4 linked regions of the Drosophila melanogaster genome follow. The gene in region 1 interacts genetically with each later gene. Each region holds a gene or a part of one and is shown in the gene's direction. Other genes may lie near its edges. The genes, in order: EcR, ari-1, mys and babo.

Region 1 (5,409 bases):
TTTGGCAGTCGGCCAAGAGGGAAAAGGATAGTGGAGGAGAGGGGAACGAGACGTGTGGAGGAGTGGAGAATGTGGGGAAGGACGAAAGAGAAGAAAATCATCATAGACGCAGTTATGGGTTGCAGCTGTGTTTGTATTGGTATACCCAAACAAATAGAAGTAGAGAAACATAGGAAGAGATAGAGAGAGGCAAAGTCTCTTTCACGCCCCCGACACCAAGCCGCTGCCGTCCCCACTACTCAGCTGTCATTGTTGATATTTTGTGTTTTCATCTTGAACTTTTGTGGTTCAATGTGTCTAGCCAACCCCAAACAGAGCGAAACTCACCACATGCTAACCACTGTCACCGTCAGTACGACCACCCCCACAGTCCCGCACCACCTTGCCCTTGCATTTTGCCGGCTTTTCTATGCGTATGCGTAGAGAGCGAGGTCGTCTCTCTCGCTCTGGCAAATGCAATTCTCTATTGCATTCTACACTTGAACTTGCCCAGCGTCAACTCAACGCACACAGCGACGTTAAGTAAATACGTAGCGATTCGAATGATGGGGCTGGTGGTGGGGGGAAGGGATGGGCAAACAATTATCTGCAGCGATGTGTGCGTATCTGTATCTGAGTATCTCAGCTCGCTTTGCGCTGACTTTTTAACCACAATGTATTCGAAACGTGCAATTTATACGTCGCCCAGCAGACGGCGGTGATACGTGTATGTGTATGTATACATACGTACATACTCATAGATACTGTTGTGGCTGTTAGTTTGATCTGCGTTCTGTTTACCCTCCTGGTGATCTTTTTCCTTTCCGTCAATTACGTCTCGTAGTGTCAATATTCTGCTTCAAACAGCGGTGTCTACTGACTTCAGGTGGATTTCCCTTCCAACGAATGGAAAACAGTCCTTCGGAGGACTCTCTATGGTTTTCTAACTCGATCTTATTTATTATTCATTCAGCTGACGTGAGAAAGTATTTTTGGCCACATGAAACGTTTTCATTGTTTTCTTGTTGAGATATTTGCTACATATATGTATTCAAATAATAAAGTTTAAAGGGACACTGAAAAATGCAATTGATGTTAGAGATTATTGAAAATAAAACTTGGAATGTATCGAAAAGGTGAAGTAGAGAGACTGTAATTTAAGCTAAATATTTCAACTTATCCTACTTTTAATTATTGCAAGTTGTGGCACTCCTTCCGATTTATTATGGACCCTTTCGTCCCACTATGCGAGAATATTTCAAATGTACGTACATACGTGTGAATTTGCACTTGTGCACCCGAAAGTAGCGATGAACGAAAACGAACGAAAAAAAAAAACAATAAATAAATGTAGAAAACCGAAAATAAAGCAGCAAGAAATGAAAGCGATGATGGCACTCATACTCACGCATACACGGCCATATACGCTCGCACACAACTCACAGATACGTGCCGGAGAGCGGACAAAGAGTATTCCACGATTGCAATTGCATCGGCATTTTCATTCAAGCCGCTTGCTCAGAGTGTGTGTCTGTGGCTGTGTGAGTGAGTGCTGCCTGCGTTTCACATTTATCTTTAGCGCCGATTCCGCTTTTAACTCTCGCTCTTTTAGCGCCATGGTGTGCGTGTCTGGTGAGTTTACTTTGGTGTGCGTGCCAGTGTGGTGAGTTTGAGCGTTTAACATTCTGCTCGTCTCGCTCATTGATTTAGTATTTTTTTGGACTTTGTTGTTAACGGTTGTTCGCTCGCACGTACGAAGCCCGATCGCGTTCGTCAAAAAACAAGATACAAAATACAGCACACACAATTGAAAACGACAACCTAACAGTACGGTTTCCCAAAGCACCTTACATTTCAAAACCGAAAACCCCCAAAATGTTGTAACCAAATAATGTTTAAATCACATATACACCTACATATATTTATGAAAAATTGTTAGACAAATCCCAAATAATACCAGTTCCCCCAACAACCGCAACAAACACAAGTGCAATTCATCGGCAAAAATTAATATAAAGTGCAAATGCATTGTAGCTGAAACTCAAACAATAGTAAAAATACATACATAAGTGGTGAAGAAGCAAAAGGAAATAGTTCTTAAAATAACGCAAATCGAGAGCATATATTCATATTTGTACAGATATTATATGGCGGCTGCATAGTGCAAACTGCGGCTGAGGGAATACAGCGGTATCGAAATGTAAATAGGAAACAACGAAGCCAGAACTCGAAATCAAACATCAGCAACGTGACACACAGACATAAGACGCCCGTCTAGTCGTGGTCTGTGGAACGCTAGCTCCGCTTTGCCAGGAGCCGGAGACTTTTTCCGCATCCACAATATTACATATGTACATATATCGAAGATAGTGCGCGAGTGAGTGAGGGATTTGTGCCGTGGATCCCGATCCCCTTACATATATATAAAGGTAGTGAAAAGATTTTACTCAACATTCCAAATAGTGCTTTGTCAACTGGAATACCTTTTGTTCAAATACGCAGTGGGCCCATGGATACTTGTGGATTAGTAGCAGAACTGGCGCACTATATCGACGCATATGGTGAGTGTGGGCACCTTGGAATCCAATAGAACCAAGCGCTTTTCCATAACAACATTTTGTGGTCAACTGCTTAACGAAAGATCTGAGTTAGGCAACAAGTTCGCTGTTCGGAGCCGAAAACTATTTTCGATTTGTTCAGGCCCTAATGTGTTTGTCTTGGCGCACTTGTCACTTCGCGTGCGCAAAATCAATTTCCATTTCTTATTCATCCAGCCGAAATGAAAACTACATTACCATTAGATCTTTTCAATGCCAAGATACACAGATCATATGTTCGCATAGCTGAATACATGCTGTACATACAGACATTATGATGTCCCAAAAAGATACACATGCTTGGGATGGGGGTTCGATTGGCAATACATTAATTATGGTCATGACAACTGACAGACGGTCAAGACAGAACGTTGAAAATTGTGTATTTCGCCTGCGTAAACATAATCAAGCCTCTTTCGGGCCACCATAGATCCCCGGTGTAGACGAATATGTGCATGTCGGTCTAGGAAAGCACTCGACTGCGTAATTGGCATGTATTTCCATAAATTCAAGTGGGCATTCAGTGAATTCAGCCAACAGATTTACTCTGATTTTCACATATATTCTGTTGATAAGGTTTAATTCGGTGTAAAACGTATTCGATTTATTAAGTGCCGAAAGAACGCTCAAAAATGATTCGATACAGATTGGGCACTTGAATCGTGTTGGAGAAGGTAAAATTGTGGAACATGTAAATGCTGTTCGTCTGAAGAGACTTCACTTTTTGGATCCAATGACTTCAATTGTTAAATGTTCAATTCTACAATAAATGTGTAGTATTTATTTATCTTATTTTTGGTATATTGTTTAATAGGTACTGCGATATATTATTATACATTATAAGGCGAGTCCTCTTGTGCGCTTGGGCTTCCCTATTTTAAAGCGCCTAATGAGGCATTAGGTAACAGCATTAGGTTTGCGCTTAGGTTCCAGTAAAGTCCCCAACATTAGTTTGACTCTCCCACAATTAATTTGTTCCATCCCCCCGACGACACAGACTTACCGCCACCCGTTGGCCTTCGTTTCCTGGGCGGGTCTGGTTAAACTTTCGACTTCATGGCTCTGTTTTTTGATACCCTTTACTCACACAGCATTTAAGTTCTAACGATGACTGAGCTGTGCAAGTTTATTTTTAGTCTCGGCCAAGTCCAATCTAAAGCTCCTAGAAATTCGAATAAGCTCAAAAGCCCTAAGCTGGGTTTTTAAATGAAATTCCTCTACAGGATGCACATAATTCAGAATTGTAGATTTAGTTTTAAACGTGCTAGCGGGTATCTTTTAGTCGAAGCACTCGACTAAAGATTCTCTTTTCCAACTGCTTTTTGCACATTAAGTTTTTCGCTATTTCTTCTTTGCTACACTTTCTGGACACAAACAAAGAGCACAAAAAAAGTAACTTATATCCTATGGCGTCGACAACTTCGTCTTCGCTGCTGTTGTTTATGTTTTATGGGACATTAAAGTGGCCAAATGGCAAATTTTAATGCGATTTTATGCAAATATATAGACACATGTATGTCTATACATGGGATTCAGTGTTGTGGCTTCGCCCAGGCTGAGAAAACCGAGTTACCAGTGCTTTTATGTCGAACCCTCTATGCATTTTTACAATAGTTTGGGGTTCTTAGCTAAATGACTTTGACATGAAGAAATTATACAAGCAAATGGAAACGATCAAAAGATCTGCTTAGTGTTCTGAAAGTCCTACCACAGACATAACAACAATTATGACTACCAAATCCGCACGAATTAAAATGACCCTGGATAATCGAAATACCTTATTTTATATCACAACTGTTTCCAAAGTGTCACACACAACCCCCCTTTAAAAAGGTTCAATGTAACCGCGTCTGGGGGCGACGATACTAATGGGTGCAGACCAGTGGGTCACGAGACAGAACACCACTCCGTTCTTCATCCCCTGGATGGAAATGGGGAACGGGAATGGCAGAAATGGCAAACAGGTGCCATTGTATGTGCTCTTGTATCAATTGCATTGAGTGCCTTATCTTGTCAGCCTTTTCTAGCTGGTTTTCCTTCCCGTTCGGTCTGGATGGACCTAATTTGTGTATGTGCGGTTAAGAGTAGCCTGCCATAAAGCAATCGAGCTTGGAATGAGTTGTGCCTTCTCCCCGACGCTCTTGTGGACTTTCACAGACCAGCAACAAAGTCGAGCTGCCAACACTTTCGCAGACAATCGCCAATGACAGAGAGTTTCCATGACTTTCCACAGTCCAGACAAAACAATTTTATTGTTGTTGTAGATTAGCCGAGCAACGCGAAAATGAACGTAGTTGTAATATAAAGCAAGGTTTAAGTCTTGAAAAACTTGTTCAGATTTTTTAGGGGCAAGCGGATTGTGGCGTTGTCATTCTTAGCATTGACTTTTTCCCTATAACTAATAAACTTAATGGCTTATGCCAAAAAATTACACAAAAAAAAAAACGTTTTTCGTTAGTTGTTTTCAGTATCTTTCCCGAACATGTCTGGTCAATTCAAATTAATTATTTTCATTAAAACAATGTCTTATCCAGTTCAGTTAGTGAGGTTTATTATTTCCTAAGCGTCAACCATGAGTATTGAATCTGGTTTGACACAATGCGCTGTCATTTTATATTGGGTTTAATGTGTCTTCTTTGCTGCCGAAAAGGTCAGACCGTTAGTGTTATTGATTAGAAATGCAAATCGTAGACGCCGCAGAATGGAAGAGAGACACCAACTAACCGGAAAAGGAAATGATTCAAGCACATTTTTGAAGCCGGGCCAGTCAACACTAACCAGTTTTACTACACTTTGGGCCAGCTGTGACTCGTCTATAGGGTTTTTCCTCTTG
Region 2 (8,343 bases), on another chromosome or scaffold:
GAAGATAAAGAAAGCAAGTTCGAGCGAAAAAATCACTACATGGCGGTTGATTGCCCTTTTTCGTTAAAGAACTAACTTCGTAATTTAATTATTTCAAAAGGGATGTAATGAAATAAGCGCTTTATCGCTACTTCTATATTTTTTTAATACATTTAAAAATCAAGCGCAAAAAGCCTTTTGGTGGCTTTTAATCATATTTAAACCTTTGGTTTTATACAAAAAACTGACAATTTAATAAATTCCCAGAAGGATTCTACTATAATTGAATCGGGCAGCACAGACTGGCGTTTCGTGTAATAAAACTTGCCAGCAATTATGGCGTGCCTAATGCAAATTGTAATTAATTCCTGAAATGCAAATTGGAACAATGTATGTATATATATATATGCTTGCATAGGTAATGGCCAACATGGATACATACATATGTATGCATATGTATTAATGTATAAATATACATACAAAGTAATTTAATCACAATTATATGCGATGGCCGGGTTTTAGTGGCAACTGCCTGGTATTACTATTCATAAATGAAAATGACTTAAATACTCCCAATGGAGCGGTGCATTTTTCAGCTGCTTTTTTGTGGCGAAAAAAAAAAACAATGCAGCCATTCATGCGCTCAGTGCATTCGGTAAATTTAACTCAATTGATTGAATTACAATCAAATTGTCATTTTCATTATATGCAAAAATGGTATACATTTTGGTTCATGTTAAAAATGCTATTTAGTAACTGCCGTCATGTAATTTTGTAGTTTTTATTTATTGGTTTTATAATTTCTACAAATGCCTAATATTAAACCAATAGAAAATTATTGAAAACATTAAAATATTTACTTCTGTGTAATGAGGCAAACGCCCAATCAATTTTATAACCATTTTTTTCTCATTAAAAATGTGTCTGCTGTATTTATTTTGCATGCTGATTATTTCCATGCAATCGGTTTTTAGTTTACATATGAATTTTAAGGTGATATTCGTTTAGATATTTGTTTTGATGGTGAATCCTATATCAGGGGCACAAAATAAGAGGCACACAGTGTCCTCGTTCGTTACGGGCATATCCTCTCGCACAATGGCATCCCGATGGGTTTTTCCAGCACCGCTGACTGAACTCCTGGCAGAAGGACTCGCATCGGCAGATCGGGTTGCTCAGACGGCACTCGTAGGGCCCACAACTTCCGGATCCGCCCAGGTCGGCCCGTATGGCTGCCACCATTAGAAGAAGAAGAAATCGAACTGCCATCCAACGAATTTGCATTATGACCGCATTCTGATTAAGCCAGCTGGCTCTTTATATACATACCTTATACACAACAACAGTTGTCAGGTGTTGCAATAAAAACACAATATACAATAAAAAACTTTAAGTGAAATCGAATAAGGCGCCCATTGCCAGTGCAACTCTGTATCAACCGATACAGTATCGATAAGGTATCGATATGGCATCGATACATCGATGTTACAACAGAGTGGCAATTTACCATTGAATTTGATTAACGGTACTTGTGAAACAATGAAAATTGGGACAGTAAAGTTTAAAATAATTTTATTCAAATATATTTTTAGCTCGTGCGAAGTTTTAGCAATTTTATATTGTTCGCCACTTTAAAGATTAAACTCTAACCGCAAACAACCGGAGGTTGCAGTTAAAAACATGAGAAAACGTTTGAGTATAATATCTTGACAGTCGAATAAAAGATCTCAATAATAGATCAAGACGCCTAGTTATCCTGATCAAGAATATGTGTACTTTATGAAGTCGGAAGCGCTTTTCAACGAATCTAGTATACCCTTTAATTCCAAGAATAATTAATAATGTTTAAATAACAATATTTATTTCAAACAGGTTTATGTCTCGGATTGGAATTTGACACTGTGGTTCGTGCCTTTGAATGGATCCCTTCAAGTCTTGTTCTGTAAAGGGATTTTCTCAAAAACTGTTTCTGTAAATTAAGCGCATGTCTCATTTTTAAGATAATCTCTTTTGATGAATACACTGAGAATCAAGAAAACGTTCATTGGAAGCTCACTTGTTTTTGAATCTACTGTTTCCCAGCCGTCGATAAGTCACTATTGCTTTTTTGGCACCCATCGATAAGCAGATGTTGTTAAACATACGATTTAACGGAACGGTATGAAACAGGCGGCAATCGGAACGAAAGTAAATGGGAAAAAAGCGCAAACATGCGCACACACTTTCACGCACACTTGACTCCACTGTGCGAGCGCGTGTGTGTGTGTGTTATTTTTTGAGAAAAGCAAAGAGAGCAAGTGAGAACCAACACCGATGCAAATCATTTTGTTGGCTTTACGGTTAGTTTTTCGTGAAAATTCCATTTAATTTGTGCATTGCAACCGAACTTCGCGACGAAGGCGAGCACGATTAGTGCAATAAGCTAGTGTTTTTTCTTTGGAAAAGTGCATAGAAAAACAACAAAAAGTCATAAGCTTTTCGACTGTGCCTTTGTGTACGTGTGTGTGGCAATACACACGTAATGTGCGCATGTGTGTGCGCAGTGTGCTGGTGTGTGCCATTACCTTGAAAACAAAATAATCTGCCCTAAAGAAAAATGCATTTGTGTACATAATTTCGTTGTTTTTTTTTGTTTGTCCCATCGACGTTCGGTCGATTTTACATGATTTTACACACACATGCACACATTTAACATAGTGTTGTTCGCTGTTAAATCAGCAGTTCGGCCCTGTTAAGCGCACGGGCCAGTGTGACCGTTCTTCTTAAAAATACCGAACCAGTATGACTGCGCTGCGACCGTGCAGGGTCTCGTATTGTCATTAGAAAATCTCACATATTCATTTTTCATTTACAAATAAAAATAGCCAGCACGCAGCCTACAAATTAGCAGCGCACAAAATAAGTTAGTGTGAAAAAGGGAATAGAAGCTGTGCACCAAGTGCAGCGACCAAACACAACTGGCCACGCCACTGCGAGGGCAGCAATAATAACAACTGGCGAAAAGGGCTGCGCAAAAACGTAAACAAAAGCAAGTGGAAAACGAGGCAAAGGAAAACGAAAAGACAGAAACAAACGCAAATGCAAATGCAAAAGTAAAATACTGGAAGTAAACGCTGGAAAACAAAGCCTCGAAAGCTGAAAACAAAGAGGAACGGAAGTGGTGCGGGAGGCGCAAGAGGAACAGGAAGAGGAAGAGAGCAGAAGGAGCACCAGCAGCTGAAGCAGAAGCAGTAACGCAAAACAGAAACCGAAAAATGGACTCGGACAATGACAATGATTTCTGCGATAATGTCGATTCGGGCAACGTCTCCTCGGGCGACGACGGCGATGATGACTTTGGCATGGAGGTGGACCTGCCAAGCTCCGCGGACCGCCAGATGGACCAAGATGACTACCAGTACAAGGTGCTCACCACCGATGAGATTGTGCAACACCAGCGCGAGATCATCGACGAAGCCAATCTGCTGCTGAAGGTATGGCCAAGCGCAAGTACAGTGAACACCCGCTAGTATAACTATCCATCCGCAACTTAACTATCAGTCCTAGGGCAGCCATAGAGGTACATTCTTCACCCAGTCCAGACAACAAAGATAGGCAAGCAGTCACCTTTGATTGCTCTACAGTCAGGCCTTCCTAGCAGGAACATGTTTGTTTCGACTTTCGTTAGCGCTGCGATTTGCAGTGAAAGCCAAATGGCTTGACATAGTTTAGTGGCGTATAGCTGCCAAGAATATCTGATCTGTTCGCCGCTCGGAGGCATCACTGTGTGCAGCACAGTGCATTTGGGCATGTGTATCCGTGAATCGCTTTCCCCACCCCTCGCTCTTGCCGCCCACCGCCCTGCCTGGGATCTGGGATAAGCTGAAGGTCGTCCGCTGATGACTGCCAGTGCCAGTGAAATCGGAACACAAGCACCCAGGCGCACCCAAGGTCGCCAGATCCGCATCCCATATCCGCATCAGCAGCTGACTTGCCCGAAGTTCACTAGCACAGTTTTCACTTTCCCAGATTTCGGGGGATTCCCTTAAAATGGTATTATAGATTCCATTTCAAATGAATACATTAGGATCAATGTAGAATCCATGTAATACTTTTTTGTTTCATTGACATTTAAACATCAGAAAATCTTTCATTGCAATAATAAGCGAAATTCACTTAGCTTGAGTGTTAACTTTCAGTATTGATACAGATCATGTATGTAGCTATCTAATTGTTAGTTAAACAAAGCACCTTTGAGTAACTCTTCCCTCTAAAATTGAATTGTACATACATACGTACTTTTTCTCGATTTCCAAACAAATCGATTAGTTATTAGGAATGCCAAGAAATGTTATATATCCTAAAAATTATACTGTTTAGATAGACCAATTGCCAGTGGTAGTTATAGTGGTTCCACATCACAACCCCATCCACGATTATACATAGGTACTGCTGATCATACTGCTGCTGATCGCAAATGATTTGGCATTGATTTCGATGCCAACTGGGATGCAGCCCCCGCTCTTTTACCCCATATATGTACATATGTGCCATCATCCACTGACATTCGATTTGTTTTGTTGTCTATGGCCACAGCTACCCACACCCACCACACGGATACTGCTAAATCACTTCAAGTGGGACAAGGAGAAGCTATTGGAGAAGTACTTCGACGACAACACTGATGAGTTCTTCAAATGCGCACATGTCATAAATCCTTTCAACGCCACCGAAGCGATCAAACAAAAGGTGAGCCCAGTGCTAAGGCTCCATTTGATGTCTCATCTAATGCGTTTCCCTTCATTTTCAGACCTCACGCAGTCAGTGCGAAGAGTGCGAAATATGCTTTTCACAGCTCCCGCCAGATGTAAGTTGTCATGGAGAAGGGATGAGTAACTCCGTGACCTAATTGCGGTGTAGAATATATTTTCCCGCTGATTAACCACGAATATTTTGGGGGGAAACATGATTTTTTAACTGGTCAATGGTGCCTTATCTGATGACCTGATAATAATGTTAGGGCGTTGCTTTGCTATACAAATCTAAAATATTCTAAAAAGACTTGATTTGTATTTTATCAATTATTTTTATTGGCTTACGTTATCACTAATTTACTTGCTTGATTTACAATTGTTGATTGTTAGCCTGAATTTGGTTATGTAAGCAGTTCAGCAGTAATTCGCTGGAATCCAACTGTCTTGTGGAATCAAACATTTAATAATGTAGTTTAAAAAGTAAAATTTAGTATCACGTTTTAAAAGAGTAGATTGCAATGGGCAACTTTGGGTTATAACAGCAAAGTAAACTTAAATATATTATAGACAAGCTAACTAACAAATACTCAGAGCGTAAAACACCTATGAAAAGTTTAAAATTACCATACGCTATGTAGGTGGTTTTAATTTGCTGTATGCTTCATCATTAAGCTCTCATAGTTCGCGTGATCTTTAAGTATATATTATAGAATACGATTATAATATATTTATAATATTGTATACTCTTTTGCTCCACAAGCAACAACTTCAAGAATATCTACAATGTATACTAATAGCTACTTTCTCTTCGTTCCATTTAGTCCATGGCCGGGCTGGAATGCGGACACCGATTCTGCATGCCCTGTTGGCACGAGTATCTGTCAACGAAGATCGTGGCGGAGGGTCTGGGCCAGACCATTTCGTGCGCGGCGCACGGCTGTGATATCCTGGTGGACGACGTGACCGTCGCCAACCTAGTGACGGACGCACGGGTGCGGGTCAAGTACCAGCAGCTGATCACCAATAGCTTTGTGGAGTGCAACCAGCTGCTGCGCTGGTGTCCGTCCGTCGACTGCACCTATGCGGTGAAGGTGCCGTACGCGGAGCCACGTCGCGTCCATTGCAAATGCGGCCATGTCTTCTGCTTTGCCTGCGGCGAGAACTGGCACGATCCGGTCAAGTGCCGTTGGCTAAAGAAGTGGATCAAGAAGTGTGACGACGACTCGGAGACGTCCAACTGGATCGCGGCCAATACCAAAGAGTGTCCCAGGTGCAGCGTGACCATCGAGAAGGACGGCGGCTGCAACCACATGGTGTGCAAGAACCAGAACTGCAAAAACGAGTTCTGCTGGGTGTGCCTCGGTTCTTGGGAGCCGCACGGCTCCTCCTGGTACAACTGCAATCGCTATGACGAGGACGAGGCCAAGACGGCCCGCGATGCTCAGGAGAAGCTGCGCTCCTCGCTGGCCAGGTGGGTCATTCGACTGTGAACGATGTCACAGGATAGGAACCCCTTTTGTTTTTTTTTTTTTTTAAGTGATACTTGTTGTGTATTATTTTCGCAGTTCGCTGATAATGACGGTTAGCGGTTTATTTTATCTGCTAATTTCTTTTAAGAAAAGATAACGATTGAAAGCCGTAGAAAGGAATGAATCAGCTATAATTCGTAATTAAATTTTATCGCTGATTAAACCTGTAGAATTAGAAATGCTAAAACTAATCAAGGAAACACGAAAGTATCTAGGCAGAAATGTGAAAGTCATTATGGAATAAAACTCAACTGATATATTATCTTCTGCCAAATCTACAGATATCTCCACTACTACAATCGCTACATGAACCACATGCAGTCGATGAAGTTTGAGAACAAATTGTATGCATCTGTGAAGCAAAAGATGGAGGAGATGCAACAGCACAACATGTCATGGATTGAGGTAAGTGGTGAAAACTCGTGACCATAACAATGCGAATTCAGCACACTCATTGCAATTGCAGGTGCAGTTTCTGAAAAAGGCTGTCGACATACTTTGCCAGTGCCGTCAGACTCTCATGTACACGTACGTGTTTGCATATTACTTGAAAAAGAACAATCAATCCATGATATTCGAGGATAATCAAAAGGACTTGGAGTCGGCAACCGAGATGTTGTCGGAGTATTTGGAACGTGATATTACATCCGAGAATTTGGCTGATATTAAGCAGAAAGTGCAAGATAAATACAGGTGAGCGAGCGAGCCATGTCCGTGTCCCCAACATACAAACGACTCATTATCCAAACATTGATTGGTCTCTCCATTCGATTAGGTATTGTGAAAAGCGGTGCTCTGTTCTGCTGAAGCACGTGCACGAGGGGTACGACAAGGAGTGGTGGGAGTACACAGAATGACGCGAGTCATGGCTGGATAACTAAGCTAAGCCGAGCGGCAGGCAATCGGAATGTAGTGCCCGCTAAGCGCCACCCCATCCAGCATCCGAAATGCAGCAAACACTGTCCCCATCCACATACCGACCAACATCCGCCAAGCCACGCAACACACACACACACACACACACACACACTCACGCACGCACGCACTCACGCAGAAATCGAAGCCGAAGGAGTTGAACAGAAGTTAAGGATAATGCAGAAGCTACACAGAAACGCAAGAGAAAGGAGACTCGAAATTCCCAGAAACGCAGGATAAATCCCCATACAAGAGTTGCAAAGCAAAATTGAAGCCATTTCAGAACACAGAAGCCAGAAGGAAATCACCATAAAATCGTAATATATATAAATATATATATTGAATTATATATATTTTTCTTCGTACTAAGCAAGAGCAGCAGCAGGACACGAAGAAGGACAGGATCAAATAGACACTACCAAACACATACTCACACACTCCCACACACACACACACACACACACAGAACCAGTCACAAGGCTCAGAAGCAGAATAGATATATAGTAAATAATCAACAGTTAAAAACTTATTTGATGTTAACCGATTGCAAAGAAATCTTCATGTTATAAAAACCTAATGAAAAACGAAACAAAATGCAAAAATTAGTGAATTCAAAGCTACACGCATGATGAGAAGCCAACAATAGAACCTAAACTTATGTGAAATAAACAAACTACACATGTAAGCAGAAACACTCGCCCAGCTTCCTTTCCACCTGCCCAACTTCCTTCGACCAAAGACAATAGAATAACAAGATGCGTAACGCAACGCGATTTTTTAGCACACATTTTTTTGGCAATGGATCTAGAAGGTGGCTCCAGGCTCTCTCGAATTTTTGAGAGAGAGCGAGAGAGTGGAGAGCGCTACAGCAAATAGCTCTTTTCTACGTATACAGTGATAGCAGACAATTGTATGTGTGCACACGTATGCTTATGCATTGTAAATTTGACCCCCTTCTTAGACTTTAAATCTTTATTATTTTTGATCAATTGGCACCATGCTAAAAATTCTTGTTTTGCATTGCCTTAACGTTATTATTATTTGAAAATAGATTAGAAATAGCCAAATCTATGTACATATTATCACAAAATAAATTTCAAAAATTACTTTATTAGAATATTTGTCATTAGAGTATTCAGCTTGCGGCGTGTGAAAAATTAAATTTTTGTAAAATTTATGTTTTAAAT
Region 3 (5,507 bases), on another chromosome or scaffold:
AATTCGAAATCACCCTGGGAACATTTGGTATCTCAGTTATTGCACAGTTAAATTGTAAATAAACATGGAATGCATCGTTTTCCCAGGCCACGGGGAAAAAAGGGTTGTTGCGGCAGTTGAATAAATCCGGGGAAAAGCAGCTGTCGTGTCGAAATTTCCCTCCATTTTGCCGGGTTGCTGACCCCTAAGCAAATACTCGAAAACTAGCAGAAAATGCAAAGTGTCCTTGGGGCAAACCGAAGAGGCGCGCTCTTGTGTCGTTTTCCACTGTGCGAAGGTGGGCGGCTAGTGGTGGAGGAGGCGGGGGTAAACGCCACGTGCGCTGCACTTTTTAAACTTACTTTTCCTTTGGATTTTATCGTTCTTCTTTTCTTTTTGTTGTTTCGTTAAATCCACTCGTTCTGTTACTGTTTATTCGCTATTATGGGCGAATATATGTATATATCCGAATGACTTTTGATTTTGGCTTTGTTTATGGCCGCGCTGCCGCTGGATGTTGATTTTGTCTTAGCCAAGTTTAGCTTGTCGGTTTTGTTTGTTGTTGTTGCTGAATTGCGTTGTTGCTATTGTTGCTGAATTTTGAATTGAACATATACAACATACAGATTGTACACGATTGTTAAAAAGTTGCAACTGTAAAAATAAAAACAAAAAATATTGGTCACATCGGGCACTATTTTTTTTCTCGAGATTTTTGGATTTGCGCGCGCCAGAGAATGAGTGTGGCGTAAAGAGAGGGAGAAAGAGTAAAATCCCCAGCGACAAATGTAACGTAACCCACAACGTAAGCGTCTTCTGTACGTCACCACGCTACGTAGGCCACGTAACGGTATGCTAACGTTACCGACGGCGCCGCAAAACCGCAAAATCAAAAAATACAATAACAAAATCGACAAAATTATAGATTTTCAATGTGCACGTCGGTTTCTTTTTGCTAGCGAAAATCAACTAGCGCTAGTATATTTTGCTTTTGTTTTTTCTCATTTCGAGTGAAACTTTTCGCGCGCTTCTGCGTGTGTATTCCTCTTTTTTCGTTTTTTCTTCTTTTATTTGTTAATATTATTCACTTGGTGACTACACACGTTCATGCTCATGCCCCCTCACTCGACACACACACGCACACACACTGACGAACGTTTCTGCTTCTTGCTCCTCTTTCGTTCGCTTTTGTTCCACCACCGAAAAAAATGAAAAAAAAAATTTGTCATGTCCATTGAAGTCTCACATTTTTCAAATGCATTTTTTGGCGCTAAAATCTTATAAATTTCAACATTTTTCCATTCGCATCTGATCCCCCGCAATTAGCACTCCACTTCGAACACAAATTTATATAATTTTTGCCATTTTTTACCACAATTTTTAGTAATTTCTACACACCGATATATACGTACGCGCTACGATTTTTCGACAAACGCGCGAGTTTCTTCTGAGTCGCCATCAAATATACAAAATTTTTTTTCGAAATTACTGAAAATGCGAATACACACGCACACATGGACAGCCGACGGGCACGAGGCGCACGCGCTTGGTACATGCGGCTATGCCGCTCTAACGCACTGCTTTTATTGATAAATCGAGAGCGGGACAGCTAGAGCTACCGGCCGAGAGAGAGCATGTGAGAAGAGCGTTCTGTGCGAGTGTGTGTGATAGAGAGAGCCAGAGAGCAAAGTAGTCACACATACTCTCGCAAACTCATAGTGGCTTTCGTTCTCTCCTTTTCTCAACCATTTGCACGTACTTTTAGCTTTTTCATATGGCTATTTGGGAAATTCACCAGCAGTTTACACTTATGCTGTTGTTAGTTTTAATCCATTTATACTGGTAGAACGTAGATTCGTCGGCTACTTTACATTAATTTCGTAACGTAAGCGCAACAAAAACAAGGCTGTCATCGATATAAGCAGGCGTTTTTGTCTGAAACTATCGTGCAATAAGTGACTCCGATAACCAGAGTTCCTTTACGTGTTTCTCGATTACTTATCGGATTGTGTTTGCGAGCACAAATGTCTCTTTTAGCGGAGACACAGTCCTCCAAAACTGTGCAACACTGTTCCTAGGCTCGGTGTGACCAGAGCTATTTAACAACACTGGCGAACATCGGATGGCAAATATCGAAAGAACATTGACTGTTGTTCCACCCCCTGCTGACACCATCTGGTAACACTGAACAACAGACCAGATCCGCGGACAAAGCAAAGCAGTAAATATTAATTTAATCCAAATCCAATTCCCGACACCAATTGGCGGCCTTCAGCTGCTGCTTCTGCAGTCGAATTGTATTTTTTTTTTTGGTTTTTCGTGTCACCCGATAAGAGTTAAATTCGCTGATCTAGCGAATAACGGTGGCAAGTAATTGTAATAACTGCGTGTGTGCACAGTGCTAGTGTTTAGTGTGCGAGTGTGTGCGTGTGAGTGGGAACTCCACAAGTGTGCGAGAAGGCAAATCAAAATAAGAAAAGTGCCGCCCTGATGGAAATTAATATCGCGAATTATCAGCGAAAACGCAGCGAAAGTTAAGCCAAAGTGCTGCGATTAATCAGATAGCGGGTGAAATAGTGGGTATTACGTAAGAAATCAATGGATTCCGGGCTGCATTTGCCCAAAAAAAGAGGAAGCAATATCGAAGCGCTACTTTTATCTCCTCTTTTTTCGATGATTTCATTCGCAGTGACGACACACAGGCACGCACACACCGAACGCCGTATCTGTGTGTGGGTTGTTTGTTGAGCTAAAAAAAATAATGAATCCTCACGATACATTCACTCGTTTCATTTTTTTTGTTATTATTATTCATCATATTTATTTATTTCTTTGAGTGTGCATATCGGCGACTTCGCGACGCCAATTGCTGATTACGCCCCCTCCCTTTTCAGTGCAACTTCCCCACCCCGGAGATCTTGCACTCGAACTAAAAATCGAGTAGAGTACGTAGGCAGAAGCGAAAAGAGCGTACAAAAATCAAGAGCTCAGTGGCAGCAGCAGGAATTTGTGTTTGTCAGGGGATTGCCCAGATTTTCGGGGTAATTGTCCACTTTATAAACAGCCAACCGAATTTGAAACCAACTGTAACTGGAAGTAAAAACCAATTTTACCAAAGCTATCAAAAAAAAAACAATAAAAAAAATGAAATCCTCTGCGCGCCGCTGGTTTAACCAGTACGCCCACATGTGGGCGGCCCAGATGTGCCTCGTTTTTGGCCCAATGGCTGTGGGCGTCCATCCGTGGTTGAAACTATGCGCTGCAGATGCTGTTTACTCAGGCGGTTTATAGTATTACGAATTTGCTAGCTAAAAAACTGATTAAAACTACTACTAAGTGCACAACTCATAACTTTGATATGCTGTGACTGGGTGTATAAATGATAATCGAATGAAATTATTCAATCCAAGGGTATATAAACATGGGCTTAGTCGTTTTTAGTTTGTTTTCCTTTCGGCACACGATCTGCTGCAAATCAAGCTCTGTGGTGTGTTAGTGTTCGTTGTGTTGTGTGTGCGTGGGCGTTTAAAAATAGCCGACCAACACAACACCCATACGTATACGTAATCTGCAGCCCTTTTTTTTCCGTTCCGTGCATATGGAATTTTGATTTGAGTCTTGAGTGGCTTGGAGTGAGTGATTCATGTGGCTTTAGGCGGAAAGGAAACCCAGCGAAGCTGACTCAATGACCACTCATTGTTCGTTCGGCCTTTGTTTACATTTTGCCAGGAGCCAAGAGAGCGAGAGAGCGTGCTAACGGAACGTGCTCGAATGAGTAATTCGCATTGCATTTGACGTTTATCGAAAGCTCTCTTCCTTCCGCTTTTTTCCTTTTCTTTTCGGAGGCCAACAAAAAAAAACAACAAAAGCACGCAGGCACGCACACCCACACACAAGTTCGTACATCAATCGCTTGGTGTGTGTGTGTGTTTGTGAGATGAGTCATCTGGCCAAGTTGATGAGAAAATAAAATTAAACATTAAGGTAGAGCGAAAGAAACAACAAAAAAAGGGGACAGATGTGCGGCCATTTGCTGTTGTTTGTTGTTGCAATAAAGAAAAAAGCAGGGCACGCGGAGAAAGCAGTGCTCGACAAGCAGTGCAGTCAGCAGCTGGACTTTTACGTACACCGGCGTTCGTAAAAATTGCAGCGAAATCGAAGAAATCAAATTGTGTCTTAAAAATAAATGAAAGATTAAGGCATATAAAAAAAAATAATATAAAATATGTAGCATTAGAAATATAAGTGAACCAGGAATGGCTTTTATAATAATTTCTGCCCCTTACTTAACATCTAGTGCTAAATCCAACAATTTTAATTCACTTACCATTGCAGCCGGCGCACAGAAGCGACAGAGACAGAGCACACACAGCACCTGGCACATCCAAGGATATCCGATCCTCCTGCATCCCGAATCATCCACAACCTGCACCAACCGCTAACCGCCAAAGCCATGATCCTCGAGAGAAACCGGAGGTGCCAGCTGGCCCTCCTCATGATCGCAATACTGGCCGCCATCGCTGGACAAACGGATGCCCAGAAGGCGGCCAAACTGACGGCAGTGAGCACATGTGCATCGAAGGAAAAGTGTCACACCTGCATCCAGACAGAGGGTTGCGCCTGGTGCATGCAGCCGGACTTTAAGGGCCAGTCGCGGTGCTACCAAAACACCAGCTCACTGTGTCCGGAGGAGTTCGCCTACAGTCCGATAACAGTTGAGCAGATTCTAGTGAACAACAAACTAACGAATCAATACAAAGCTGAACTGGCGGCTGGTGGCGGCGGCTCCGCCATGTCCGGCAGCAGCTCAAGCTCCTACTCGTCGAGTTCGAGCTCGTCGAGCTTCTACTCGCAGAGCTCCTCGGGATCCAGTTCCGCCAGCGGATACGAAGAGTACTCTGCCGGCGAAATTGTCCAAATCCAACCGCAGTCCATGCGACTCGCATTGCGCGTCAGTGAGTAGCAAACGATTGCATCATCCATGTGACCTACAAACTAATCCCTTACTTGCTTATCAATACACCTTAGATGAGAAACACAACATCAAGATTAGCTATTCCCAGGCGGAGGGATATCCGGTGGATCTCTACTACTTGATGGATCTCTCCAAATCTATGGAGGACGACAAGGCCAAATTGTCTACGCTGGGCGACAAGTTGTCCGAGACCATGAAACGCATCACCAACAATTTCCATCTTGGTTTCGGTTCGTTTGTGGACAAGGTGCTCATGCCCTATGTCTCGACCATTCCCAAAAAGTGAGTATGACCTACATAAATGTGAAGGAAAACCATGAATTGGAAATAGTTCTACAAATTTTGCTGATTGAAGATGATGCCAGATGCCGTCAGTTGATGGTGCATTTCTTTAAGGCCTATTAAATTATTGTATTTATATATTATATTATACAGCGTATTTGACTTGTTAAAATTATGATTTGTCTATTGTAGCGTACAATAGCCCCTCTAGTCATGACAATGTGCTTATGATTCAAATAGCGAATCAAATTAAGTTTATTTTTAAGTGATG
Region 4 (5,215 bases), 2.8 Mb from region 1:
GTCGCTGCATTCTCAACGACGATTGTGGTGGTCCTTGGTTTGCCCGGCCGAAAAACTCAGAGGTTTCCCCCAGAATGCGCATGCTGTTTCTGCCGTTTGGCTGCCTGGTTTAATGTGCGTGTGCTCACCTGACCGAAGGTTAAACGGAAAGCGTACAGGCCGAGATTGCTTGTTTTCATGGTCCGTTCCAGTTCCAAATCGAGCAAATCGGGACCTGCAACAGTAGTAGACACGGTATCCGGTTATTCGAGCTTACATAACATCAATTGATTTTTCCCCGACTGCGTGCGCTTTGCTCTTGTTCGCTCATTGCTGGCGTTCTTTATCACTTACGTTTCGTTTGGCAATGGGAACTTTAGTGCTCGGCGCTCTCTGATTAACCGCGATTGCAGGTGCAGCCGATTAAACCAGCAACGTTGCTAAAATTTGGCGAGCAAATGAAAACCAAGAAAACTAAACGATCTAGAACTCATGTGAGTAGCGGGCAAGTGCGAAAGGGACTCGAGATTAGAGATGGGACTTCGAGTGGCTGCGATAGTATCGATCTACGGAGCACTTGCCTGCTGCGAGAGATAGCAGGGGTATTTTTTATTTTTATGCTTCATATTGTTAAGAAATCAACGAAAACTTTGAGCGTTAAAAAGAAGTTTCCTTACTTCAAATTCTTGTTGCATTTCCAACGCTTTCAGAATTTGAAACTTTGGAAATGTAACATCTTTAAAGTTGATGGGAGTACACATGCAAAAATATTGCGGGATCATTAAAAATACGAAAAGGTATTTTTCAGACCAAGCACACTTTTTTCTTTTCATGATATGTGTCCAATAGACAACTTGTCGGTGAAATGGTAGTTAAAAACCTTTATAGTGGAAAATATAAATTAAAGAATATCAGATTAAAACCCAAAGGGCAAAACGGTGTGACCGTTTTAGAAGCGAATTTAAATTTTGCGCTCAAATGTCAATGTTGCCACACCAACAGAAATCTGTATTCGAAATAATTTTACTGATTCTTTAAATTGGTAAATTATTTCAGGCCCAGCAACCTGCGACAAAGCCATCCCAAGAAAATATAAATTGAACGAGTAACCTAACAAAAAGTTTCTGTCAGCTGTTTTATATCGAAAAAAGTGCTGTTTTCCAACACTTCGTTTGCAGTCAGACAAGTTATCATTTCATAATTCGCAAAAGGAGCTAAATTCAATATCCGTACGAAATGAAGCTATCCGAGGGAGTTAAGGATCGTTTGGGATTTGTGGTTGGAGTCGTCCAGACTGGATTCCACTGGGGATTCGTGCCTCTTGTGCTGTATTTGGGTAAGTTGTGGTTCATGTTTTTTGTAATCTACACGCGGCTGGGAAGAAGAAGCAGCGGGGTAATATCAAATGGACCGACATTGATTTTGACCAATTCTCATTTTCGCAGGATTTATGAAGGGAGCTGAGCCTGGCATGCCGCCTCTGAACCTTTTCAGTCTGTTATGGCAGTAAAAATAGTGGACATGATCATTTTGCTGTCGTATGCCCCGCATTTTGGTTCTGGTTGGGTTTCTGGGAACGGGTGCAGTACCTGCAGCTATTGCAAATAAATATCTGTTACAAAACAAATCGAAATTTTTTTATGTATCCTGGAAACAACCAATATTTTAACAAAAATCATTGTCCATAAAAACATAACCGATTGGGCATTTTTACGCACTTCTCTAGCGGGTGGGTGTTTTTCATGGGCAGTCCAGCCTGGGCACACTACTGCAGGTGCGGTCACACTGTTTGCAAATCCACACACACCAGCGCGGTTTTTCGCTGCACAAAATTGTACATTTAAGAAAAAATAGCAGCAATTAATATAAACAAACGGTTGCCCCAGACACCCGAAAGTGCCGGCTGTCCCGCGGAATATGAAATAGTGCCACTTCCCCCGCGCCACTGCCCCAATCACGTGATGAAAATCCGCCTGAAAAGTCGCCCTCGTCCGTGAAATGTAAAGCAGAGCAGAGCAGTTTTTCCAACCAACTTGTGCGGAGTGTGGAGTTCGAGTTTCGCATTGCGGGCCCCCATCGAGATTCGCTAATTGTGAGAATCGCCAGTCTATATTCCCGGCCATGCCCCCGCCAAATGTGGGAATTCGCGGGCGCCTGTCCTACGCGATAAATGCGCAGTTCGGGGCCAATTAGTGGCTGTCTGAGGTGTCCTCCTGCCGCTCCTCCTGCTCCTGCGGCCCCGCCTCGTCCTGCCGCGAAACAACAATCTCATTTGCAGGCCACAGACTTTGAACTTGCGACGCGCGTGTGCGTGCGTGCGATCGTGGAAAACAAAAGAAAAGCTCTCGGGCTGCACAAACAATAACAATAGCTCGGGTCGGGTCGCACACACTATCGTCGGTGCGAATAGCCAACATGTTATCTGCGCTCCGGCTAATCTTCCTGGGCGCTCTGCTCGGCGCCTCTGTTTGCGGTGAGTGTACCCCCCAGCGGTTCCATTAATCTGGATCAGGTGCGAAACTAACCTAAAATCTCCCCCGGTGCAGCCTCCCCCATTGAGTTCGTAATGGACACCAGCCTAAATGGCTCTCGATCTGATCCTGCGACTGCAACCCACCCTGGCAAATGGCCACCGACGACCAAAGCGCCGGCGCTCAGGGCTCCAGCTGGAACAGCTGGACATGCTTATCAGTCGCCATCGTCGTCGCTGGCCGCTGATAACAGAAGCCACGACAACAACAACGCTAGCGCCGTGTCCATGCTGCTGCCGCAAGACGGCGACGCATCTGGAGCTGTGGCCCCTGCTGTTACTCCCCAGCTGCCCATCTACATTGCTCAGCCTAGCGCGAAAAAGCCAGAAAGTAAGTTCCGATTGCCTAACGAGAGTGTAGAGCACACTGCGGACAATGCACCCCGAATTATCTAAACAACAAGAATGTGATAGATTTACAGACTTGTTCCGGTATTGCCTTGCAAACATTTTACTTGACTTCAGTTAACCAGGAAAGTCAGCACAGAGTAAAGGTCATTTTACTTCCCTTTTTTAAGGTGAAATCCATTATTGGGAGAAGATAGAAACCGCTTAGTGGTTATACCTTACTTGTCCGATATATTGACATTTTTGTTGTTGTTGTTTAATAATTAAAATATCTTACCAAGGGTTACTTAATACTTGGCGATCTTTTCGATGCCATAGGGATCTTTTCTCCGTGTGTATATCGCGTGACTGTAACACCTCAAAGACTCTGAACGCTTCTAAAAGGCCGTCTTCGTCTGCGCCTGAGGCTCCGATTCCGTTCCCATATAGTGACGTCACCTCTCCGTGGTGTCAATGAGCTGAGCCAGACAGCTCTCATGGCCCACTCCAACGCTGCCTGGCTGCAGACACCCCCACGTCTGGATGCATTTGCTTGCTGCACTTGGGCACTTGCAACTGCAGTCGGTGCAAAAAAAAGCAGGCCTAAGCACTGGCACTGGCTTCTCGCTGTCCGGGGGAAGGGGAAACTGGTCGCATTGTCTGGCCCTCCACTTTGCACTTGTCTTCTCCGCGTCTGCTTTGTTAATGCTAAATGGTTTTGTTTTTGTTTCATCACGCTCTCGGCGGTGTCGGTGGCGGTAGATGTGGATATGGTAGTGGCTATGGATGTCTATGTGACTGTCTGGGCGAGCGTGTGCCCGGCCAGGTGCCCCGGGGGCATGGTTATGGCAAATCCCAATTTGTGGTCAGGAGATGCCAATCAGCGAGTGGTTGATTTATGGGTCTCTTATTTCTCTAATTAGTTAATTTCTGCCAGCGCCTAATTGATTGATTTGCTTCAATCGGAGTCGGGGCATTTTCTTAATTCGAGAAGTTTGCTACTGCTAACCTATGCTTTTGCGTTTTATTTGTTTAAATAATAAGAAAATCATTAACCGTGGCAAATGAGGCGCGGACCTCTTCCTTTGCTTACCTTTCCACAAGTAATTAATATTCATTAAATATTACAAGAAACACGTGCTTGGTTAGGATCACCTACAAATAGTGAAGATATATCGTTAAGCGAAGAATAAGTTTTTGTTGGTGAGTCGGTTTAAAGTTAACAAATTTTTGGTAGGAATGTATGGATTTGATAGTACTCTAAAGTTTGGTTTTTTGCAAATAGATCTTTATATTAATTTTACCTTTTATGTTCTGCAGACAAGATAAAATGCCACTGTGACACGTGCAAGGAATCGAACAATATATGTGAAACGGACGGCTTTTGTTTCACGTCCGTGGAGAAGAACTCTGATGGGAGCATCATCTTCAGCTACAGGTGAGTGCCGAGAGCCTGAGGAGCAGGCCTTTGATTAGGTTAGCACTTGCCCCTCAGAGCAGCCAGTGTGAATATGTCTGATACGATCGATCTATCGAGCGATGCAGATGTCTGCACAAGTCTCAAATCTTTCCGCCGGGCCGCTCCATCTGGTGTAACGACGGGCTGCACGGCGGACCAACCGCCCGCCCAGTGGGTCGCAATGGCGCCCACGCCTGCTGCAAGGACAGGGACTTCTGCAACCGATTTCTGTGGCCAAAGACGAAGGACCAGAGGAGTGATCGTGTCGAAGAAGGGCGGCAAATCTCCGTCCAAGGTGCGTGCGCTTATGCACGTGTTTCGCTCCCAAAAACCCCTCCTCTCTGACTGCTCCCATTTCTCTGTTCACTCGCACGCCGTTCAACAACCAGTTGCCCAGTTTTGATCGTTCTTTGGACTGTTTCCCCCACTTATGCTCGTTGAGTTGAAGTTTTGAAATGATCATAACCCCAAATGCAGAGCACTACTAATGATGACCTGCTGAAAACCAGAGCGGCGTTACACACACTGTAATCAATATAATTATAATACTCTTCTTGCTACTAACCAGACTGCCACTTCAATTAGCAACAAGCCGAAGGCGGCAACAACTACAGCTGAATCAGAATCAAAATCAGAATCAGATGCAGCAGTAGCAGCATCAGCAGCAACCAACAACCAATGCCAAGCAATACTAATTTCGTATAATTGTTATTTTATTTTCTCTATCTCCCGATATTTCCTTCGCTCCCTTCGGCTCCTCCACTCGAATGAATATATCGAACTTATCGCATTATCCCCGCTCGTTCACATATTTGTGGACTGTGCTGTACGGTGACCCAGTTGCATGGTTGTCAAGTACAATATGCAACGGAGTAAGCCCTTCGAATGCCTCACCAGTAACGAAAGGTTCGATACGTATA

Evidence for each region.
Region 2: of EcR (region 1) and ari-1, changing one suppresses a phenotype caused by changing the other (phenotypic suppression), as found in Drosophila melanogaster (one study listed by BioGRID).
Region 3: of EcR (region 1) and mys, changing one enhances a phenotype caused by changing the other (phenotypic enhancement), as found in Drosophila melanogaster (2 studies listed by BioGRID).
Region 4: of EcR (region 1) and babo, changing one suppresses a phenotype caused by changing the other (phenotypic suppression), as found in Drosophila melanogaster (2 studies listed by BioGRID).

The regions. Positions count from the first base shown.
Region 1 is NT_033778.4:6,128,197-6,133,605, reverse strand, and holds the start of EcR (ecdysone receptor), read left to right. Parts: upstream 1-1,764; 5' UTR 1,765-2,488; coding exon of another isoform or gene 2,489-2,540; intron 2,541-5,409. UniProt on the Drosophila melanogaster protein: Receptor for ecdysone. Binds to ecdysone response elements (ECRES) following ecdysone-binding, and recruitment of a complex containing the histone methyltransferase trr, leads to activate transcription of target genes.
Region 2 is NC_004354.4:18,131,551-18,139,893, reverse strand, and holds the start of ari-1 (ariadne 1), read left to right. Parts: upstream 1-2,208; 5' UTR 2,209-2,318; exon of another isoform or gene 2,319-2,529; intron 2,530-2,754; exon of another isoform or gene 2,755-2,843; 5' UTR 2,844-3,233; coding exon 3,234-3,452; intron 3,453-4,554; coding exon 4,555-4,707; intron 4,708-4,768; coding exon 4,769-4,825; intron 4,826-5,533; coding exon 5,534-6,183; intron 6,184-6,522; coding exon 6,523-6,646; intron 6,647-6,707; coding exon 6,708-6,934; intron 6,935-7,016; coding exon 7,017-7,098; 3' UTR 7,099-8,343. Other genes in the region: CG43229 (uncharacterized protein), read right to left, coding at 1,015-1,263. UniProt on the Drosophila melanogaster protein: Atypical E3 ubiquitin-protein ligase, which catalyzes ubiquitination of target proteins together with ubiquitin-conjugating enzyme E2 Ubc10.
Region 3 is NC_004354.4:8,059,526-8,065,032, forward strand, and holds the start of mys (myospheroid), read left to right. Parts: upstream 1-2,119; 5' UTR 2,120-2,200; exon of another isoform or gene 2,201-2,555; intron 2,556-4,314; 5' UTR 4,315-4,432; coding exon 4,433-4,934; intron 4,935-5,007; coding exon 5,008-5,236; intron 5,237-5,507. UniProt on the Drosophila melanogaster protein: Integrin alpha-PS1/beta-PS is a receptor for laminin. Integrin alpha-PS2/beta-PS is a receptor for Tig, wb and Ten-m. Contributes to endodermal integrity and adhesion between the midgut epithelium and the surrounding visceral muscle.
Region 4 is NT_033778.4:8,950,578-8,955,792, forward strand, and holds the start of babo (baboon), read left to right. Parts: upstream 1-1,761; 5' UTR 1,762-2,394; coding exon 2,395-2,452; intron 2,453-2,525; coding exon 2,526-2,840; intron 2,841-4,156; coding exon 4,157-4,274; intron 4,275-4,381; coding exon 4,382-4,590; intron 4,591-5,135; coding exon of another isoform or gene 5,136-5,215. Other genes in the region: CG33199 (uncharacterized protein), read right to left, coding at 129-179; CG8229 (uncharacterized protein), read right to left, coding at 1-10; Tom7 (translocase of outer membrane 7), read left to right, coding at 1,216-1,315, 1,425-1,489.